2 linked regions of the Oryctolagus cuniculus genome follow. The protein of the gene in region 1 interacts with the protein of each later gene in a pairwise test. Links are inferred from orthologs where the notes say so. Each region holds a gene or a part of one and is shown on either strand. Other genes may lie near its edges. The genes, in order: ERICH2 and MACROH2A1.

What was found.
Region 2: the proteins of ERICH2 (region 1) and MACROH2A1 interact in binary tests that used the Homo sapiens proteins (3 or more experiments, as listed by UniProt). The two-hybrid records come from large-scale screens. The link is inferred for Oryctolagus cuniculus from reciprocal best matches to the Homo sapiens genes ERICH2 and MACROH2A1.

What each region holds. Positions count from the first base shown.
Region 1 is NC_091434.1:70,336,415-70,340,228, forward strand, and holds part of ERICH2 (glutamate-rich protein 2), read right to left. Parts: intron 538-3,814; coding exon 389-537; intron 1-388.
Region 2 is NC_091437.1:23,470,378-23,474,191, reverse strand, and holds part of MACROH2A1 (core histone macro-H2A.1), read left to right. Parts: intron 1-1,597; coding exon 1,598-1,772; intron 1,773-3,814. UniProt on the Homo sapiens protein: Variant histone H2A which replaces conventional H2A in a subset of nucleosomes where it represses transcription. Nucleosomes wrap and compact DNA into chromatin, limiting DNA accessibility to the cellular machineries which require DNA as a template.

The sequences.
Region 1 (3,814 bases):
AACATCTGCTCTATGTGTTTTATTTTAAATAGCTGGCTGTCTCTCACTAGAATATTAATTTTATAACAGCAAGAAGTTTTATTTTGCTATTTTATCTACAGCTTCTGGCACACTGGTTTTCAACATTTGTTAAATGAATGGAATTGGTTAATGCTTTCACGGGTATGTGAATTCATTCTAAGATTTAAGCCCTATCATTGTCATCTTATGTAATGTATACTCAAGGATCCTACCCCTGACTGTATCAGAATCACCAGTCAGTACACGATTTGAAAAACTGACTCCCAAGACTTGCTCCAGACTTCGAGTTGTCAGCTCCCAAAGGCTGCAGAAAAGGAGGCTGAATTAGAAGCCACAGTTACTCAATTCATAAAACAAATGTTATTACCTGTGCTTTCTTTTAAGAAGGAAGAGGACCATAGGTCAGATTGAAGACTTGTTACGGTATCTTTATTTTTAATACCCTTTGAAGATACTCTTTTTCCAGAATGCTCTAAGGAAACTTTATTTTCAGTGATCTTGGAAGAGACTTCTTTCCTAAGGATTAAGAATATAATGAAAAAATACCTTCTTAGGTTAAAATTGTTTGATGCTTTCTATGGGTTCACAAACACATACACTATTTTTGATACAAACACACAATTTAATATGCCAACAATACAATGACTAAAACATAGCTTCTTTGTGGAGAACATTACAAATAATTTGTGCTGATGATTAAAATTCTACTTCTACTTGACGTTTGTTGTATATCATTCTTAGAGTCTTTTCAGAGTTCTTTAATATAGAGCACATAAGCAATCAGTTATATAAGTACCTTTAGTACATGATTGTGATACAATGAAAAAACTATTTAAGGAAATTAGTCGAGATTTTTTAGGTTTGAATGGATTCCTGTCATTGCTAAATATTTGCTTTACTTATGGAGAGAGTCCAACATTAATGTTAACCCTTAATCATAATATAGCCTTGTTTTGGAAATGCAGAGTGGCAGAGAGGAAGAAACACACCCATACACACAGATCTTCACTCCTCAAATGGTTACAACTGTGCCACACAGAAGTCAGGAGCCAGGAATCCATCCAAGTCTCCCATGTGTGTGGTAGGGGCCCCAGCACTTCATCTGCTGCCTTCCCAGGCTCATTAGTAGGGAGCTGGATTGGAAGTGCAACAACTGGGACTCGAACTGGTATTCTGTTATGAGATGCCTACACACTGCTACATATTAGGCCCTAAAGTAGCCTTTTGTATTAAGGAGCTAAACTTCAATTGGGTTAACTTTCTCTTTTAGTTTTCAAGACTGAAACAAAGCACTGAGACTTGTATGGTATTCTGTTTACAAAGACAGGTACCTATGCTTGTGGAAAATAACCCCAAGTCTCTTTTTTGAGGTCTTAAGACTCTACCAATATGTTTCCTTCACAAATTTTTTTTTCTTTTTTTATTCAACCTCCAGTTTGCATGGAAAGATGTAACAAGGTATCGAGTACTGTATTTCCCCCAGAGTTATGGGGGTTCTGTTTTTTCCCCACTGGATTGTGAATCCAGAACACTGTCAGTTAAGCTAGTGGGCTTGTCCCCTGTAGCAAACAGGTTGCCCAGCTTGTGAAATTCTTAACATTACAGGAGGGAATGGAATCTTTGCATCCCCAGTAAACACAACTAAAGCGAAACCCTCTCTGGAAATGAAAAATGCACAGCAATGATCAACATTTGTTCTACTTTTGCCTACTGCTTTTCCCATTGTGAAAGCAAGCATCCAAGAGGATGCTGAGAAGTTACGAAAAGGAGGAGCTGAGAAGTTACTGAAATATTCACTGTCCAGCATGTGAGATTCCTGTTAGGCAAAAGGTCACTATACAAGTGACTACCAGAATTTAAATGTCTACTTTTGAATGTAGGTATTAAGGGCTTTGATGCTATTCCAGTCTGAATTACAATATTTCATTGAATCTAAGATAACAGCCATTCATTATAAGGTATACCATTTATGTATCACTAAGAAAAAACTGTCAAATATAAAAGCACATCAATTGTAAGATGTTAAAGTATGAAAAAAGTGTGCTTTAGAATCTATAAAATATGGAACTTATATATTTATATCCTTAAGGAAGGGAATTTAGCAAGTACAGTTCTGAGTATGTATGTATTTGGAAATGCCTTTTATAATCTTAGTGAAATACACATGGAGGTATCCAACAATACTCAACAGCCTGAGGATAAATGGAACGTTACCACTTGGAAGCAGTGATCATGCAAGAAAAATACCTAAACAACACTTGACCAAATTAGGATTTTTTTTTTTTAACTTATTTGACAGGTAGAGTTAGACAGTGAGAGAGACAAAGGTCTTCCTTCTGTTGGTTCCCCCGCAAACGGCCGCCATGGCCAGTGTGCTGCGCTGATCTGAAGCCAGGAGCCAGGTGGTCTCCCACATGGGTGCAGGCACCCAATCACCTGGGCCATCCTCCACTGCCCTCCCGGGCCACAGCAGAGAGCTGGACTGGAAGAGGAGCAACTAGAACCCAGCGCCCATATGGGATGCCAGAGCCGCAGGCGGAGGATTAGCCAAGTGAGCCACGGCACTGGCCCCAGGAATTTTTTTAAATTAAAGATTTATTTATTTGAAAGGCAGATTATTTTACAGACAGAAAGAAACAGAGAGAGATCTTCCATCCACTGGTTTACTCCCCAAATGGCTGCTTTGGCCTGGGATGAGTCGGGCTGAAGCCAGGAGCTAGGATCTTCATTCAGGTCTCCCATATGAGTGGCAGGGGCCCAATCACTTGAGTCATCCTCTGCTGCCTTCCCAGGCACATTAGCAGGGACCTGGATTGGAGGCCCAGTAGCTAGGACTAGAACCAGCTCCCACATGGGATGCCGGCACTATAGGCTGTGGTTTAATCTGCTGTGCCACAGTGCCAGGCTCCAAATCATGAATTTAGCAGGGAAAAAACATTCCTATTTGCTTCTTTTTTGTAGTCATTCTTATATAAAGTTTCAGAGGATCAGAGGTTCCAAGTTAAATTTTCTCTTCAACTAAAATCTCATAATTTCCATTTGAGAAAGTGATATGATTTACGGCAGTAAGGCCTCCAACCTTTCAGGAAAAACATAACTAGTCCACTTTTTTTTTTTTTTTGACAGGCAGAGTGGACAGAAGAGAGAGAGAGAGACAGAGAGAAAGGTCTTCCTTTGCCGTTGGTTCACCCTCCAATGGCCGCCGCACTGCAGCTGGTGCACCGCACTGATCCAAAGACAGGAGCCAGGTGCTTCTCCTGGTCTCCCATGGGGTGCAGGGCCCAAGCACTTGGGCCATCCTCCACTGCCTTCCCAGGCCATAGCAGAGAGCTGGCCTGGAAGAGGGGCAACCAGGACAGAATCCAGCGCCCCGACCAGGACTAGAACCCGGTGTGCCGGCGCCACAAGGCAGAGGATTAGCCTAGTGGGCCACGGCACCGGCCCCACTAGTCCACTTTAAAAGATTTGTTTTCATTAGCTTTAAGTTAAATACAGTTACAACCAAGAAAAATTCAAATCTTGCTTTATATAATAATGTCCTTTGGAAATGGAATGTATTTAATTTAGTACTTACTAAAAGGGCTGGCGCTGTGGTGCAGCAGGTTAAAGCCATGGCTTACAGCACCGGTATCCCACATGGGTGCTGGTTTGTGTCCTGGCTGCTCCACTTCTGATCCGGCTCTCTGCTATGGCCTGGGAAAACAGTAGAGGATGGCCCAAGTCCCCGCACCTGTGAGGGAGACCCGAAGAAGCTCCTGGCTTTGGATCAGCTCAGCTCTGGCCATTGTGGTCA
Region 2 (3,814 bases), on another chromosome or scaffold:
CTCAGAGGGAAGAGGCTGAGTGGGAACTGGGGGGACTCTAGGACCTGCAGGCAGACTGCAGGCCCGCCTTTTGCAATCCCGGTGGCCAGCAGGGCGTGTGATAGCACTGGCCTTCCCCTTCCTTCCATAGAGTTCTGGTTTTCTCTGCATCTGTGTGATCCCCAGTGCCCATTCTGTCAAATCCTCTTTCTTTCTTAACTAAGTGTGGACTTCGGCAGTCACTACGCAGTGACCCCCCACAAACCCACTCTCAGGGCTCACCTGACCATGCCCCTCTTTGCCCAGTCACTGCTGGCTTCATCCTCGGCCAGTCTCAAGGCCTCACAGAAGGAGAGTGGCATTCCCTTTGCTCAGCTCTGCCCCTTCCTTCCATTTGTTCTTCAGGGAAGTTCCACAGAGGCCTACATGGTCACATTGTGCGAGGCAGGGCACACACAGCGTTATTGCCCCTGCCTGCATGTGGCCCACAGGCTACTTTCCGTCAGTGCTCCAGTGTCAGTCCTCCTGGGAGGGTGCCTGGGAAACTCCCCTGTAAACCGAGCTGATGCTAACCCATTAGACTACATGTCAGTCAAAGTATTTATGTTCAACATTTTTGGTTTTATTTATTTGAAAAAGAGGTCTTCCATCAGTTGGTTCACTCCCCAGATGCCCACAACAGTCAAGACAAGCCTAGATCAGACTAAGGCCAGGTGCCTGGAACTCCATCCAGATCTCCCACATGGGTGGCAGGGGCCCAAGGATTTGAGACTGCTTCCAAGGGTGTACATTAGCAGGAAGCTGAGATTACAGGTGGAGAGCAACTTAAATCCAGGTACTCCAAAACGGAATGCAGGCACCCTGGGTGGCATGTTGACTGCTGCACCCAATGCTGCGCCCTTGTTGTTGTCAATTTTGGAAATTTTAAGAAGAGAATAAAGAATATTCCCATGCCACTGCCCAACGATGACCACCATTCACCTGTTGGTTTTCATTCTTGAGCAGCACACGAGTTAGCGTGTTACACACCCCAGGGTTGGGTTTGTGAAGGCCAGCACTTCAGCCTTGCACTGTCGAGTGGCCTCGGTCATCCGAGGCAGGACTTGGCCACAGTGTACCTGAGGGACAGGGATCCGGATCCATCCTAGAGAAAACCAAGCTAACTCTGCCCATAGTCAGCAGCGTTTGTCCTAGAGTGAGGCTGTCCAGCAGCAGAGGTGCCAGTCTGGCTGCGGAACTGCTGGCGTGCACAGGTTGCTTTGTCCTGCATGGTATTGGCAAGAGTTGCATTATCTGCACATGAATCCACTGGAGGAAAGGCTGGAGGAGACAGAAAGAGGCAGGTGTTTTGAGGCTGCAAACGTTCCAACATGTTTGCTCAAGTTAGGAAAATTCCTCGTGCCGGTGCCTCCCTGATGCCAGTTTTCCCAGGGTGCTGGCTGTCCCCGAGGGAAAGGGTGAAGTGCTGAGCATCACCGGTGGTTTGAGCGCCTGCTGGCAGTCTCAGCAGGTGACTGTGTTCCTCCTTGGACACAGGGCCAAGGGGATTTACTGTGGCAGCAGAGCGGGCCTGCGTGTGCGGAGCAGCTGAACTCACTCTTGGTCTCGTCCCCTCCAGCTGCCGTCAGTGCAGGCCACGGCTTGCCTGCCAAGTTTGTGATCCACTGTAACAGCCCAGTCTGGGGTGCGGACAAGTGTGAGGAACTCCTGGAAAAGACAGTGAAAAACTGCTTGGCGCTGGCCGATGATAAGAAGCTGAAATCCATCGCATTTCCGTCCATTGGCAGTGGCAGGTAAGGGCACACCAGTGCTGCCATGCAGGTCACGGTGTATTTTTGTGTCCAGCAGGGGTGGGGGATGCTTTTTCTGCCAAGGACCATGTACGGATTTGTGACATTGTTTGCAGGTTGTACAAAAATGAGCCTGCCCCAGATGCACTGAATTTCCGGTCCTGGCTGCGGCGTTCCCTGCCCCTAGTCTATAGGCCCCAGTCGGGGGGCTCTGTCTTCATTGGGGAGACAGAAGCACACCCTGGGGGGCCTACATCTAGCAACTGCGGGGCCAGCTGGAGAGAGTGACAGCAGATGTCACCACAGAGGGGTTACTGAGATTCCAGTGGGTGGCAAGCACGGGCAGGGTGACTGGTTCCCAGGGTCAGTTGTCGCCAGTTAGGGCTTTGTCCCTCAGCCTGAAGAAGGGAATGCTAAGAGTGAATCAGGGCTGGGCCCAGCCTCGCCTCCCATCCACAATGGGTCCTAATGCAGACAGGCAGGACGCAGGTGGGACTCAGCCAGCCTGTGGGAGCAGCACAGCCTTCTGCCCTGCTGCGAGTCCTGGCTCAGCCACTAACGCGCTGTGTCAGTGGTGGGAACCGTTGTTGTGCCAGACAACACAATGTTGTTGTGCCATTTGGGTATTTGTGCCAGCATTCATGGGCCATGCAGAATTGTCAGCCTATAAACTAGCCTGCTGGAGATGGTTTGGATTTCAAGTCCCACCTTGGCAGGGCCGGACAGTCCCCACCCGAGTGATCCTAAGCACCTCCATGCAACCTCTTGGGGTGCTCTGCAAATTCAGACACCCTCAGGAGGTAGCGACAAGGGCCCGGTGGGCGGGGGACAGAGGCAGCACCGCATCTGAAATTGTCTCATTTCCCAGCATCAGCAGGGCCCTTGCAGGCTCTGGGTTGGCTGCGGGAGCAAAGCGTCCAGCTATGAGCATGTTGTACCTAGGAGGGGCCACCGGCTGGGTTCTGTGTGGGGCCTGGCCCTGCTGTCCCTGTGAGCAGCAGTCCTCAGAACCGTACCTGATACTACAGCATTCCCTGTCTGCACTTCCCTTCCAAGAGCTGATTCTGCCATTTCCGGCTTCAGTGGGCCTCGGAATTTGCCTCCGTAGACACTGCTATCACTGAGGTCCCCATCTCAAGTGACAGAACTAGCTCTGGGTGTGCTTCCTGTCATTTCACATGCACACAGGCACTGCTGCACTTCAAGGGTGTGCTCTGTGCGGCTGCAGCAGGCTTCCCCGAAGGAAAGCCATGTGGGGCCTGGGCCGCACCCCACAGCCACCGTGCCTGCAAAGCCGGCTCCTCAGCACGTGTGTGTGTACTGCACCTACATGTTCAGTTACTACATGCTTGTTCGTTCCAGTCTCTCTTGCCAAGCGCATATGTGGAACATCATTTTTAAAAGTCAGCACCATTTCAGTGCATATTGAAAGCAACAGCTAACAGAGCGCGCGTCTAGAGGCTCTGAGAGTACCTGGCAGAGACAGGCAGTCTGGACCTCGGTGCTGCAGGCCCAGGCCCACAGCAGAGTCAGGGCGCTCCTGGATCACTGCGAGAGGCCGTAATCCTCTCTCCTCGCTCGCCCTAGCACGTCCGCGCTGGGGCACTGCACTGCTGTGTGACTTCTGGGGAGTGAAGCAGCCTCCCTGACTCCGGACTTCCTTATCAGCAAGCCAGGCAGCAGGGCCTGCCTGGCTGCGCCCAGGGCTCAGTTAATTAGTGTTTCGGATGCACTTTGATCTGCGCTGATGAAAGGTGCTTCCGAAGAGAGGCACTAGGGCCTTTATTGGAAGCAGTAATTTCACGCTCTTTCATATGGTTATGGGGACATTTTTAATTGAAGCATAAAAGTAATTCCCATAAAAGAGCATCTGTTATTACGAACTTATTTACATTTTTCATGGAGTAAAATGTTTTTAAAAATAATCGAAAGCTTTTAAGAGGGCGGAATGCCAAAGGCAGCACATGTGCACGGCTCCCCGGGCCCACATCTGTCGGGCAGACCTCGCCCCGCAGAGCCCTGGAAACAGCTGCCCTCTCTTTCAT